3 linked regions of the Mus musculus genome follow. The protein of the gene in region 3 purifies or fractionates together with the protein of the main gene of each other region. This does not show direct contact. Links are inferred from orthologs where the notes say so. Each region holds a gene or a part of one and is shown on either strand. Other genes may lie near its edges.

What was found.
Region 1: the proteins of Slc39a12 (region 3) and Nat14 purify together in Homo sapiens (co-immunoprecipitation; 3 studies listed by BioGRID and IntAct, counting the BioPlex papers as one, with this or other methods). This does not show direct contact. The link is inferred for Mus musculus from reciprocal best matches to the Homo sapiens genes SLC39A12 and NAT14.
Region 2: the proteins of Slc39a12 (region 3) and Abhd12 purify together in Homo sapiens (co-immunoprecipitation; 3 studies listed by BioGRID and IntAct, counting the BioPlex papers as one, with this or other methods). This does not show direct contact. The link is inferred for Mus musculus from reciprocal best matches to the Homo sapiens genes SLC39A12 and ABHD12.

Annotation. Positions count from the first base shown.
Region 1 is NC_000073.6:4,921,127-4,925,451, forward strand, and holds Nat14 (N-acetyltransferase 14), read left to right. Parts: upstream 1-1,459; 5' UTR 1,460-1,513; intron 1,514-1,519; exon of another isoform or gene 1,520-1,936; intron 1,937-2,081; 5' UTR 2,082-2,131; coding exon 2,132-2,203; intron 2,204-2,776; coding exon 2,777-3,325; 3' UTR 3,326-3,880; downstream 3,881-4,325. Other genes in the region: Zfp628 (zinc finger protein 628), read left to right, coding at 1-771. UniProt on the Homo sapiens protein: Probable acetyltransferase. May act as a transcription factor that regulates the expression of coproporphyrinogen oxidase by binding to a promoter regulatory element.
Region 2 is NC_000068.7:150,901,894-150,906,143, forward strand, and holds the start of Abhd12 (lysophosphatidylserine lipase ABHD12), read right to left. Parts: upstream 2,839-4,250; 5' UTR 2,655-2,838; coding exon 2,464-2,654; exon of another isoform or gene 2,173-2,463; intron 1-2,172.
Region 3 is NC_000068.7:14,394,893-14,398,494, reverse strand, and holds part of Slc39a12 (zinc transporter ZIP12 precursor), read right to left. Parts: intron 2,424-3,602; coding exon 2,142-2,423; intron 1-2,141. UniProt on the Homo sapiens protein: Uniporter that promotes Zn(2+) import from the extracellular space to the cytoplasm across the cell membrane. The transport activity is temperature dependent. May play a role in neurulation and neurite extension.

The sequences.
Region 1 (4,325 bases), on a different chromosome or scaffold from region 3:
GCAGGGGCTAGCGGGGGAGGGCAGAGCCTCATTGTTCTGCAGAATGTAGGGAGTGGGGAGACAGGACCACAGGAAGTGAGTGGGGTCCAGCTTCAGCCAGCACAGGAAGTGGCCACGGTACAACTACAGCCTGCACAGGAAGTGACTACAGTCCAGCTACAACCAGCACAGGAGGTGACTACGGTCCAGCTCCAGCCCCTGACAGGCCAAGTCTCCAATTCTAATGGAGGAGCTGGCACTACAGAAGCTCCAAACCTGCTGCTGGTTCAGAGTGGGGCAACTGAAGAGTTGCTGACCGGCCCTGGGCCCGGGGAAGTGGGAGACAGTGAGGCCGGTGCTGGTGTGGTCCAGGACGTCCTGTTTGAGACACTGCAGACAGATGAGGGGCTGCAGAGTGTGCTGGTGCTGAGTGGGGCGGATGGTGAGCAGACTAGGCTCTGCGTGCAGGAGGTGGAAACGCTTTCCCCCGGTCTGGCGGAGCCAGCGGCCACTGGCCCATCAGGACAGAAACTCCTTATCATTCGTAGCGCCCCAGCTACTGATCTGCTAGAAAATAGCAGCGTTGCAGGAGGCACCACAACACTGCAACTCCTGGCCCCGTCAGCACCTGGCCCGGTCTCTGCCCCTGTGGGGGTGCCCGTAGCTCCCCCGTCCCAGATGGTACAAGTGGTCCCCGCAGTGGCTGGACCAGGGGTCATGGCTCCCCAGAACTTGCCCTCCATCCAGATTGTGCAGACTCTTCCTGCAGTCCAACTGGTACACACGTTTTGAAGAGACCCCCTCCCCGCAATTAACTGTTCTCCTCAGCTGGGCTGGGGTCAGCCCCAGAGTCAGGGGGGCTGCTGGCTGGACTTGCTAATAAAGACCCAGAATCTCTTCCTGGTTTTGTTTTCATGGGGGAGGTATAGTCATGGGCATAGCCCCTGCTTCAGACCTGGAAGTCTTCATTCTTGCTTCCCGGATCTGAGGTGACTTGCTTTGTACTTGGAGGGCTAAATGCTTCTCCGGGGTGGGGTCCAGCTCCCCCATCCTTTAAACTGTTAAGGCTTTTACTGTGCTGGGGGTGGGAGGGCGGGTACACTTGCAGAGGACAGAGAGACAGTGGGAGTCAGTCATGTGGGTTTCCTTTTGGCAAGCTCTCTTACTCCCTGAGCTATTTCTCTGGTCCTTTCCCAACCTTTGTATGTATTCGTCTGTAGTTGTACTTATAGCAGGGAGGGTTAGGGATCAATTTCTGGATTTTCCACTTCTTTCCTATAAACCACCCTTACCTCACCTGAAAGGTAGGTAGAGGAATATTATTAATTCAAACGATACCCCAGGTGCCTCCGGGTTGAGAATAAGGTCTCAGCTGATGGGGATGCTTGATGCTACCCCTCATCCCTTCCCTCAAAGACCCAAGCGCCAATGAGATTAGGTTCACAAGCAACGCCTCCTCTTCCTGATGCTCAGGTCGCTTAGCAACGAAGGACCAGCAAGAAAGGAGCTGTGCTAATCCTCCCAGGCAGGCCGGGTAAGAAACCCTCTCTGTCCCCCACTCCCATCCCCCCTTCTCCAAGGTTCTCCCACTGGCCTCCAGCAGGTCACAGCTCTTCCCTCGTCCTCGCAGTTTCCTCCATTACTCCCAACCCCTGCCCCATAGTGGGGGAAGCTTGGCAACAGTTGCTAAGGTGCCGGTCTTGCCTCCAGTCGGGAGCGTGGACGTCACTTCCGGTGGTGACCCTCTCCTGCCCCTGCCCCCCTTCTCCCTTACTGTCAAGGGATTCGAGCAACCCCGTGGAGGTGCCTTTCAGGGCCCTGTTTCTGCTATGTGGGGTGGGACCACTTCAGGAGACCGGCTGCTGGAGTTTGGATAGGGGATGAGTTTACAGGCAGATCAATGAATGTCTTCTCCGGAGTGGGGGACGATTCGGGACGATTTTCAGAGCCCCACTGGGTATGGAGGCACCTGGCCTGCCACTGTGACAGTCTTCTTTGGCAATGCTCTAGGGTCCTTGGCGATCTGGGAAACACTGCGGCCCATCCCTCCCAGGGCTCTTAGAACTCAGGTGCCCACCTAACACCAACCTACTTGTTTTCAGCAGGTGTACAACGTCAGCTCCCTTGGGGAGGGGCCTGCCTGGGGGCTACCATGGCCCCTAACCACCTGTCAGTGCGGGAAATGAGGGAAGATGAGAAGCCCCTGGTGCTGGAGATGCTGAAGGTGAGAGGCCGGCAGGGGCACCAGTGAGCATGCGCAGCTTCTTAGGGCCATTCAAAGTGGGTTCCATCAGCCCCGCCCACCTGCCTGAGCTCCGGGGGTCCTGGGGGAGGGGATTTTCGCCTCAGCTGTTTTTAATTGGTCTCTTTTCTCTACTGCCTTCTCCCTACTTAAACCTCAGCTGCCATTTTTAAAAAAGCAATTGAAAGGGTGTAGGGGCTGGGTGTTCAGGTCTCTTGACCTCCATTCAGCCCCACTTACCAGTCCCAAAATGAGGGCTACTGAGACACACACACACCCCAGACCTTCCAGCGAAGAGCCCATGTCTTCACTTTGCCTATCCTGTTCAGTCTCCTTTGGTGCGTTACCTTAGCATGCCATCCGGACTCATGGGCCTCAGGTCCTAAATCAGTTCATTTCATTCGGGCAAACCGCATTCATTCGCTCAGCCCTTAACACCCAATGGGCCAGACTGGGACCACCCCATCCGCTGGCTTCTCTTCTCACTTGAGAAGAGAAATCCTTCCTCGGAAGTTCTTATGTGATGAATGGCTGAGCCTCTACTCCCACCCACAGGCTGGTGTAAAAGACACGGAAAACCGTGTGGCCCTCCACGCTCTGACACGACCTCCAGCCCTTCTCCTCCTGGCTGCAGCCAGCAGCGGACTGCGCTTCATCCTGGCCTCCTTCGCCCTGGCCCTCCTGCTGCCCGTGTTTCTGGCTGTAGCCGCTGTGAAGCTGGGTTTGCGAGCCCGATGGGGCTCTCTGCCTCCACCAGGCGGCCTGGGAGGGCCCTGGGTGGCTGTCCGTGGCTCCGGCGATGTGTGTGGAGTCCTGGCTCTGGCCCCTGGTGCCAACGTGGGGGATGGAGCCCGAGTCACCCGCCTCTCTGTCTCTCGATGGCACCGTCGCAGGGGCGTGGGCAGAAGGCTGCTGGCCTTTGCCGAGGCTCGAGCCCGAGCATGGGCTGGAAGTATGGGGGAGCCTCGGGCCCGGCTCGTGGTCCCAGTGGCTGTAGCCGCTTGGGGGGTGGCAGGGTTATTGGAGGCCTGTGGCTACCAGGCAGAGGGAGGCTGGGGCTGCATGGGCTATATGCTGGTTAGGGAATTCAGCAAAGACCTGTGATTAGAGACCATGCCCACTGGATAGATGGGCAGAGAACCAGCACCTAAAGAACACCTACTGTGTGCCAGGCACTTTACATCCCCCCCTCAGTGTCTACCTAGTCTGCTGGGCTGATAGTGAAGCACCGAGGTTGATGGACTTACATTCCCAGTGTGCCTGCCAGCTGCAATGAGGACTCTAAACTCAAGTAGAACAAATCCCTTCTTGGTCTTCTGGGACCACTAGAGGTCACCGTGTCCAGTCCTTTGCCTCACCCCCACTGCCCCAGTCTGTATGCACTGAAAAACGTCGGGTTCTGGGTCTACAAAGCCCCTGCTGCCTGTGTTTGAGGTCTGGAAGGGAGATTTGAGGAAAGAGAGAGAGAGAGAGAGAGAGAGAGAGAGAGAGAGAGAGAGAGAGAGAGAGAGAGAGAGAGAGAGACTAAAAGTTAGAGTCTGTGACAGGGAACTCCCAAAGGGGACAGATCTTCTGGGAGTGGGTGGGGCCAGGAGCACAGTGTCTCCAAGCCCATCTGGTTTTTTACACTGTTTGTTAATAAACCCTGAAACTTCTGTGTGCCTGTCTCCTGTCTGATGCATTTTCCAGCTGCTCTCTCCAGACTCCCTCCTTCTGTCTGGCTCCTCCTCTCCGAAGAAGTTGACATTAATTGCTAGGGAAGTGTGTGTGTTGGGGGGGGGGGGGGGGCGCTGGGAAGAGGAGAAGCAGTGAGCTCACAGCGGCAGCCAGTCTTTGCCAGGCCTTCTGAGTCATGCTCCCCATTACCAAAGTTTTCCCCCTCACAGCTGCCTGGTGTGTGTGTGTGTGTGTGTGTGTGTGTGTGTGTGTGTGTACCCCCTCCAGACCGAAGCCTTGACCCCTCAGTCTCTCTACCCTCCATACCTTTGTTCTGGGAACTGGTAATAAGTTCAGACACTCTTTTCTCGAATCGGCACTGGGAGCTTCCCATCCAGATTTACCACAGTGGGTGACAAATGGACAGGAGTTTTTCAGTTTCTTTTCC
Region 2 (4,250 bases), about 140 Mb from region 3:
CAGAATTTTAAGATAAAGTAATCAGTAAGGCATTTCTGAGATTTTAGGAAATGGCTGTGCAGACTGGATGTTATACATAGCTGATATATGATACCCCACTATTACATTGTTTCAAATCACTTCTTTTCATTCAAGTAATTCTAAAGTACTTATAAATAAAATCTGCTCAAAAATAGTCTAGTTCCCACCCTGAGGGGAAAAAATGGCGAGAAGAGGAATGATTCTAGATGCTAAACAGTGACAGCTTAAAAGTGTGTGACAGATAGAGGGCCATCAGAAGATTTTATCCACTTGCATGTCGCTACAAGTATCCAAAAAGAAGAGTTAAAAGAAATAAGCAAGGTCCAAATGTCTTAGGAGCAGGCAACCTACACTGACAGAGGTCACGATCAGTACTAATTCTTCAGTGCGGACTTTGGCTTTACCTGCTAGTTATCAACACACCCTCCGGCCAGCAACTCCACTTCTAGGAATTTATTCCGTAGATACTCACTTACTCAACGGGCTTTTTAAATTTTATTTGTTTGCTTGTTTGTTTGTTTGCTATCTCTTGGCATGCCCTGGGAATGCAGAGGTGGAGAGAGCAACCTACTCTCATTGCATTTCCATTCTTGTTGGGGAGGAGACAGGTAAAACAACTCAACAAGTATTCATGCGTTACAAAGTCAGGTAAGTAAGACGGTAAACAGGGCTGCGCTGGGCTGGCCTGAGTGAAGCGCCAGAAAGCCTGGCCAAGGCAACAGGGGAAAACAACTATGGAGTAATGGTCCGGTCCGATCTGGCCTTCCTTCATTATGCTTTATTCCCCCAAAGCCTCTGTTCATTCAGAGGATGTGGGCACCATCTGAATGATTCTCTTTGTACTACAATATCAATCAGGTCCTTTTAATGCAAGGAAGGTGTCAGAGCAGTATTCCTGCTGGCCTCCCAAACATGGCTGTACATAGCAATTTGATTTTTTTTCAACGAAAGAATTTCTAAGTTATCTAAGCTATATGCAAAGCATATGAATAAAAGTGCAATCGAATTATCAAGGGATTTTAAAGAAGGTAAACTTTTCTTAAGACAAAGTAAAGAGTACATAAGTCTTTCAAAAGATTGATCACCTGCTAGTTCATTTTTAATTACATGCTATCCATTTATTTTGTGTGCATGTATGTGAGGTGGTCTGCATGGAGGTCAAAAGCCAACTTATGGGAGACAGTTCTCTCCTTTCACCATTAAGTCACAAGAAGGATAGATCTCAGGTCATTAGGCCTGATGGCAGGAGCCTTCCCCAGATCAGCAATCTCACCCACGCTCTGGTAGTAAATTTTACCTACAAACAGCCAGTTCTGGTCTTTCTGCAAGATGGAGAATCACTGACTTAAAGATCTCGGTAGTTGAAGTTCATGATCTTTTAAGCACAGAGCTTCAAGCTCTGATTTTCTTTCTTGGGTAAATGTTTAACATATACAACAAACGATCAATTGATGCAAAAAGAAATGACTGCTACAACTCCTGACTTAGGAACATTGCAAACTAATATTTCTGGTCATACACTATCAAGGCTTCAAAACTGCCAACAGAGATAATAGTCTACAAACTATCAAATTAAGAAACCAGATAGAGGGAAAGAAACCTATTCCTATATAAAACAGGCTACTCAATTTTGAGATCAGCTTTACATAACTGCCTCTTCTCCATCCTAAAAGAAGGATGCAAGTCTAACTCACCGACCAATCCCAGAAGATTCCAGGACCTTACAGAGTAATTTTCAATGACCAATTCCTGTGCAGATTTCAAGTGCTTTGTAACTAACTACCTGCATAGACAACCACCAGTTCTCTCCAACAGCTGAGAATGGATGCATCCATCCATCCTTTCCTTTGGATTCTGAAAACGGCTTAACCCTTGAAAGGGGGTCGGTGAATGCAGCTCTGACCTGCGATTAGCTAGCGAAGGGAAGGACCAGACAGGAGAGTTGCTACTGAGCTCCATATACGGTCAAGGCAAAGCAGGTGAACTGGCTAAGAGCACTTGCAGGGTCTTTGGTCTTGCCGTTCACCCTGCGTGGTCCTCTTCTTAAGGGCAGCCTTTCAAACTCCTCGGGAGACTCTTTCCAGAGCCAGTCAGGAATACTGGGCCCCTGATTACTATGGACTCAACCACTAAGTATCTCTGCAGGCTAACCTGATAAGGATGCCAGCCAGGGTGCTGGGTGGGTTAGTGAGCAGCTCGTGGAGGGGGTGGGAGGGTGAGATGGGGGTTGAAGGAGAGCTCCAGAGGCAGATGTTTGGAGGAAAGAATGGGGTTGGACGGTCCCTGCGGGCCAGACGAGGGGAGGTAGTCTTTAGAAGGGTCGAAGAGGACGCCGGGAGGATGGAACCGTGTGATGCTCCCGCAGCAGATCTCTGAAGGTGGGAGCCTGGGACTACCTGCCCTCCAGGTGAGGGGCCCGCGCGTGTCTGCACCGCATCTCACCTGCCCAGCGCCCGCTTCATGCCCGCGTCGGATGCGCTGTGCGGCTCTGCCGTCCCCTTGCCCGCCAGACGCAGGTTCTGCTTCAAGCTGCAGTCGGCGTCCAGCGCCGCGGCGGCCGAGCCGGAGGAGGACGAGCCTGAGGCGGCGCAGCGCTCATGCTCCAAGGTGACGGGCTCGGTCCGCTTCCTCATCCCGCGGCCCTGTCGGCAGCAGCTCTCGGCGCCCTGGTTTCGCCCGCCCGCCTGCGCCGACCTCGCTGCAGTCGCCGCCGCTCACAGCCGTCACCACCCGGAGCCGGGAGCCCACTGCGGGTCACATCCCAGCCCCAGGCCGCGGCGCCCGCTATGGACCAGCGCCGGAGGCCGGTCGGCCACCGCGGCCAATCAGCGCACGAGTCCAGGAAGCCCCGCCCCAGACACGCCCCCGGCAGCTCCGCTTCACAAGCAGCGCGCCCAGCATCCCCAGCGCCAGCCACAGCCATCTTGGAGAAGGGCGGAATAAGCTGAAACTGCGGGTCATTTTCAGGGCAGGGCTAGTCTGAAGGGTCTTAGTGCGTTTACGAAACGGATTAGGGCCAGTTTGGATTCTCCTGCTGGGTTGCTTTAGGTGCAACTCAGGTGCCCTCTGCCTACGAACTGAGGCAGGCCCTATCTAAGATCTAAGTGGTCCGAATGGGGAGGGTGCTAGGGAGTCCTTGAGGGCACTAGCTCCGTTTGCTGGGCAAAATAGGCTCTCTCTACTCCCTCTTTAGGGCATTTGGCGCCCCTAAAAAGCTAGAGCCCCAGATGTTCTCTAGATTTGATATACTCAACAAAAAAGCTTTACAGAGAGAGAGAGACTCCAGTAGCTAATGTATTGTTTAAACAAGTTTATATTTACTTTTTTTTTTTTTTTTTTGTCTTTTCGAGTCAGGGTTTCTCTGTGTAGCCCTGGCTGTCCTGGAACTTACTTTGTAGACCAGGCTGGCCTCGAACTGAGAAATCCGCCTGCCTCTGCCTCCCATATATTCACTTTTTCTTTCGCTGAATGTAAGAAAATGAACTGCCTGCGTATGCTTTGAAGTCTTCTATTAAAGTTTGGATCTTCATAAGAACGATTAGGACTGGTAAGAAGGCAAGGAAATCCGTTTCAAAGAGGAATTTGCACTCTGACATCCAAATTTAATAATTCAATCCACCTGAAAAAAAATGAAAGGACACGTTGTAGCTTTTAATAGTTTTTGTTTTGTTTGATATAGCATGCATTTTACTAATGAGTTACTTTTGTAATTTCAACATGCATGTAATCAGTTTGAAAAATATTGGCAACTGATAAAGATTTAATAGGAACTTAGAAATGTAATGGATTATGTTGTTGCCTTTGTAATGATAGTTACAACTTGCAATTCAAGAATTTCTTTACCATTTTTGCTATATTATAACCTATGTTCATACTGTATGAATATCTACAGTCTTTAAAACATCAACAAAATAGTACTATAGATTTGAATATTCAAAAAGGAAATTAAATGCTTAAAGATAGTTTTGACCTATCAGTCATAAAATCTTTATAGAAAAACAAAAGAACAAATAGCCCTGGTAGGACATGCCTGAAGTTATTACAGAAGCTGACATCAGGAGGGTTGCAGATTGGAGGCCAACCCAGGCAATTTAGCGGCTTCTGTCTCAAAATAACACAAATAAAAAGAGCTGAATATAGCTCAGTGATAGCATTTCCTCAGTATACCTGAGGATTGGGGTTCCATTATACAGAGGAGGGGGGGGGGAGGAGGAAGAAGAGGAGGAGGG
Region 3 (3,602 bases):
CAAGGGATAGGCTGGTATGTAACTCCTATGCTGTCTAGAACAAAGCATCAGTCTGCAGAGAGATGTCACCAGCCTTCTGCAAAGGCTGGACTGACTGACTACCTAAGTCATTGTGGTTAAATAGACTACAGGAACCATCCAGAAGTCATATACATACATTGGTATCTTTAGGAGATCACTGTGCTAAAGCAAAGAAAGGTGCATGACAGTAGTTTACTCTTGTTAACCCGATGGGGAAAAAAAGTAGTTTTCTGTGTCCTGTTATTTTATTCTCTATAGATGTTTGATCTTACAAATACCACAAAGACTGACCACTGACTATGTGGGCAGCATAAGTAGAAACCCACTCATACCCACCATTTTGCTTTAAGTACTGGATTTTCATTTCTATTTAATCTGCATCAAAAGGCAGTAAGGGGACAGGATGTCTAAAATCCTAGTAGATAATTCGAGCCAATTTAACATCATAGAGAAATCACAATGAAGATGTTACAGTTAGGAACACTTAAGGAGGTGTTCAAGCTAAAAATTGAATTCCATCAAGGAACCTTTTTCTAACATTGGAACAGGATCAATTAGGCCAAAGATTAATATTCACAAGATTGGAGGTGCCATAAGATCTTTGCAAGGTTCTTAGTAAATATGTTTTTCCTTGTATACCAAGTTAAAAGAGAAATTAAGTACATTTGTAATATATAGAAAGGGTGTTTGTTGGTTGTTGAGACAGAACAGGCTAACAGAGACTTTTCCTCCTAACTTTCCTATTTTCTTCTGTATAAAAAATTTGATGCTCAATTTGACAAATTACATTCAGATTCTACACAATCTTGCATGTTGGTCTGTCTGTCATTTGCCGACTCTTTGCCCACCTGCAACCAGAGACCCATTCCACACAGACAAAGGGACCCAGAGGGTCTGCGGCAAAGCTTGTTTTTTACAAATCAATGAATAATTCAAAAGATAATAAAGATTCACAACCATTGTTTCATAAATAATGTTCATACCCCCTTCAAATTGTGGTATGGGTCCTCAAAGAACTCTTCTGGGACTATGACTCAAGATTTATGAAGCAGAGGGTGTAGCTCAGTGGCAGAGTTCTTGCCTAGTAAGCATAAAGCCCTGGGTTCAATCCCCAGTATCAATGATGACGACGATGATGATAATGACGACGACGACAACGATGATGGTGTGTGTGTGTGTTGTGTGTGTGTGTGTGTGTGTGTGTGCGTGTGTGTGTGTGTGGTATAGGCATATGTGTGTAAATGTGTAAGTGTCCTGAGTGTGACCATGTAGAAGCCAGAAGTCAATGTTAATAATTATCCTCTACCTTTATTTTTTGAGACACTGTCTGTCAATAAACCTGAAGGTTGCCATTTTGGCTAGACTGACTGACCACAATTCCCAAATAACTGCCTTTTCCCCTCCAACCTGGTGATTGCAGGAGTAATTGTAACCCCTGGTTTTTACATAGGTACTAGAGACCCAAATGCAGGTGTCTGTGCTCATGCTTCCAGCATGTCACCTGCTGAGGCATATCCTCAACTCCATATAATGAGAATAATAATAATAATAATAATAACAAAAACATTGCATTCAGATACCTTTGTTTGCTGAAACTTCCCATTGTGCATCAGAAAGTATGCTTGAAAGGCAAGCATTTCTAGAATAGTAATGAAAGCAGGTACCCATGACCTGAGAGTTGGGGCTAGGGGTAGATGAGAAGGAGCCCGGACACACAAGGCTAAGCAGTAATCCTTTTACAAGTGATTTCATCAGTGAAATCACTAATGATAAATCATCTCTTAAACTGTTTCTGCCTTCTTCTTTGACCAGAAGCCATGACAAATGGACACATGGCTTTTGACCACTGTAGTTCATCTCTTGGATGTGGATCAAAAGCTTTGAGTCATTGTTATTCAGGAGATGAGAGCTGTCCTGTCACCTGGCCTGCCTACCCACCCAGCTTCTGACTAAAAGTCATCTACCATTAATCATTCCATTTCCACTTGAACTTTTGGATTATGTCACTATCCTAGAGTTAAACCAGAAGTACATATCTCTCTTAGAAGTTCATCCATGTCCTAGGAGTAAGTGGCAAAACTATGAACAAGCCTACAGCTCAGCTGTTCCTCACTTCTTACCTGGCTACTGGAAGTGCCAAAGTACTTCCTGGTGAAAGCCAAGATGTCATCAGTCTCCTTCTCTGAAAGGAAATAGGAGTCTTCATCCTGCCTAAGGCCGAGTAGGCTGTGCAGGTAAAACTCATATTCTCTGTTGCTCATGTTGAGCTTGGAAGAACAGATCTCTTCCTGATGAATTATGTAGTAGAGGAGAAGAAGAGAAACTCTCTGGACTACCTCCTCTCTTAGCTCATCCTCCAAATTTCCCCCAGCTGTGAGTAACAGTGCATCTGCTTCCAAACACTATAGGGGAAGATAAGAAGGAAAGAAGACAAAGTTAAGCTTTATACAAGACTGAATTATTCCACACAAGGTATCAAATTCTTATGCCTTGTAAGTACAGGGTATAGCAGTTAGTTCCTGCAGCTACAACCATGAGAGAGTGAGTCATGGTGAGACTTTTGTCTGATCACCATCTCCTCCTGGGGACGCTTTCTGTAAAAGGGGCTTTGTCCTTCGTATAAACCCAGCCAATTCCTTGGCTTTTGAAATGATGTCCCATTCCACATTGCATCTTCCACCTGTCTCTATTCTTTCTCTTCTGACTCATATTATCCTTTCTCTCTAAACTTCTGATCTTGTGGTTTTGTTTCTTTGAAGTCCCATAAAGATCTTTCCACAGTCTTGCAGGCCTCCTTTTTGCTCTCATTTTTTCAGGTCTTAAATGTCACTCTTAGCCAGATGTGATAGTGCACAACTTTAATCCCAGCACTCAGAAGGCAGAGGCAGGAAGATTTCTGTTGAGTTTGAAGCCACCCCTATCTACAAAGCAACTTCCAGGACAGCCAGGATGGTTACACAGAGCAACCCTGTCACAAACAAACAAACAAACAAACAAATGTTACTCTTTACATAGGCCTTCCCCAAGGCTCTCAATCTATATTGTACCTCACAATGTTGTTCTATAAAAATAGCATGCAAAATACACATGACTTTCAATTTTTCTTGATGGCCACATTTTAAAAGTGAAAATAAACAGGTGATATGTATTTTAGTACTTTACAAATTTTTTACATATTTAAGATAAAATTATTTAAGCATGTAATTGAAAAGTCTAAGAATGACTAATGAGATAATTTATGCTCTTTTTGTAGGTCAAGTCTTTGAAATCTAGTGTACATTTGTCAGGATATTTATGTCACACAAGTCACACATATCAATATTCTTGGTATTTATTATTTATTCAATAAATATTTATTCAACAGTCACTTGTAGCTATAGCTACTGTGTTGGACAGACATCTCTAGCATTGCATTTTTTTCAGAGCACTACATTATAAAATTTCTGTTGACCTGATCATTGTATTTTGTCTGCCACCAAGAACAAGAGTTTATCTGGTCAGGTTTCCAGGACAGGTCTAACCATCAGCATGTGGCACAGAACCAAGTACTGAGCATCTTGTAAAGATGCAGTGACACTGCC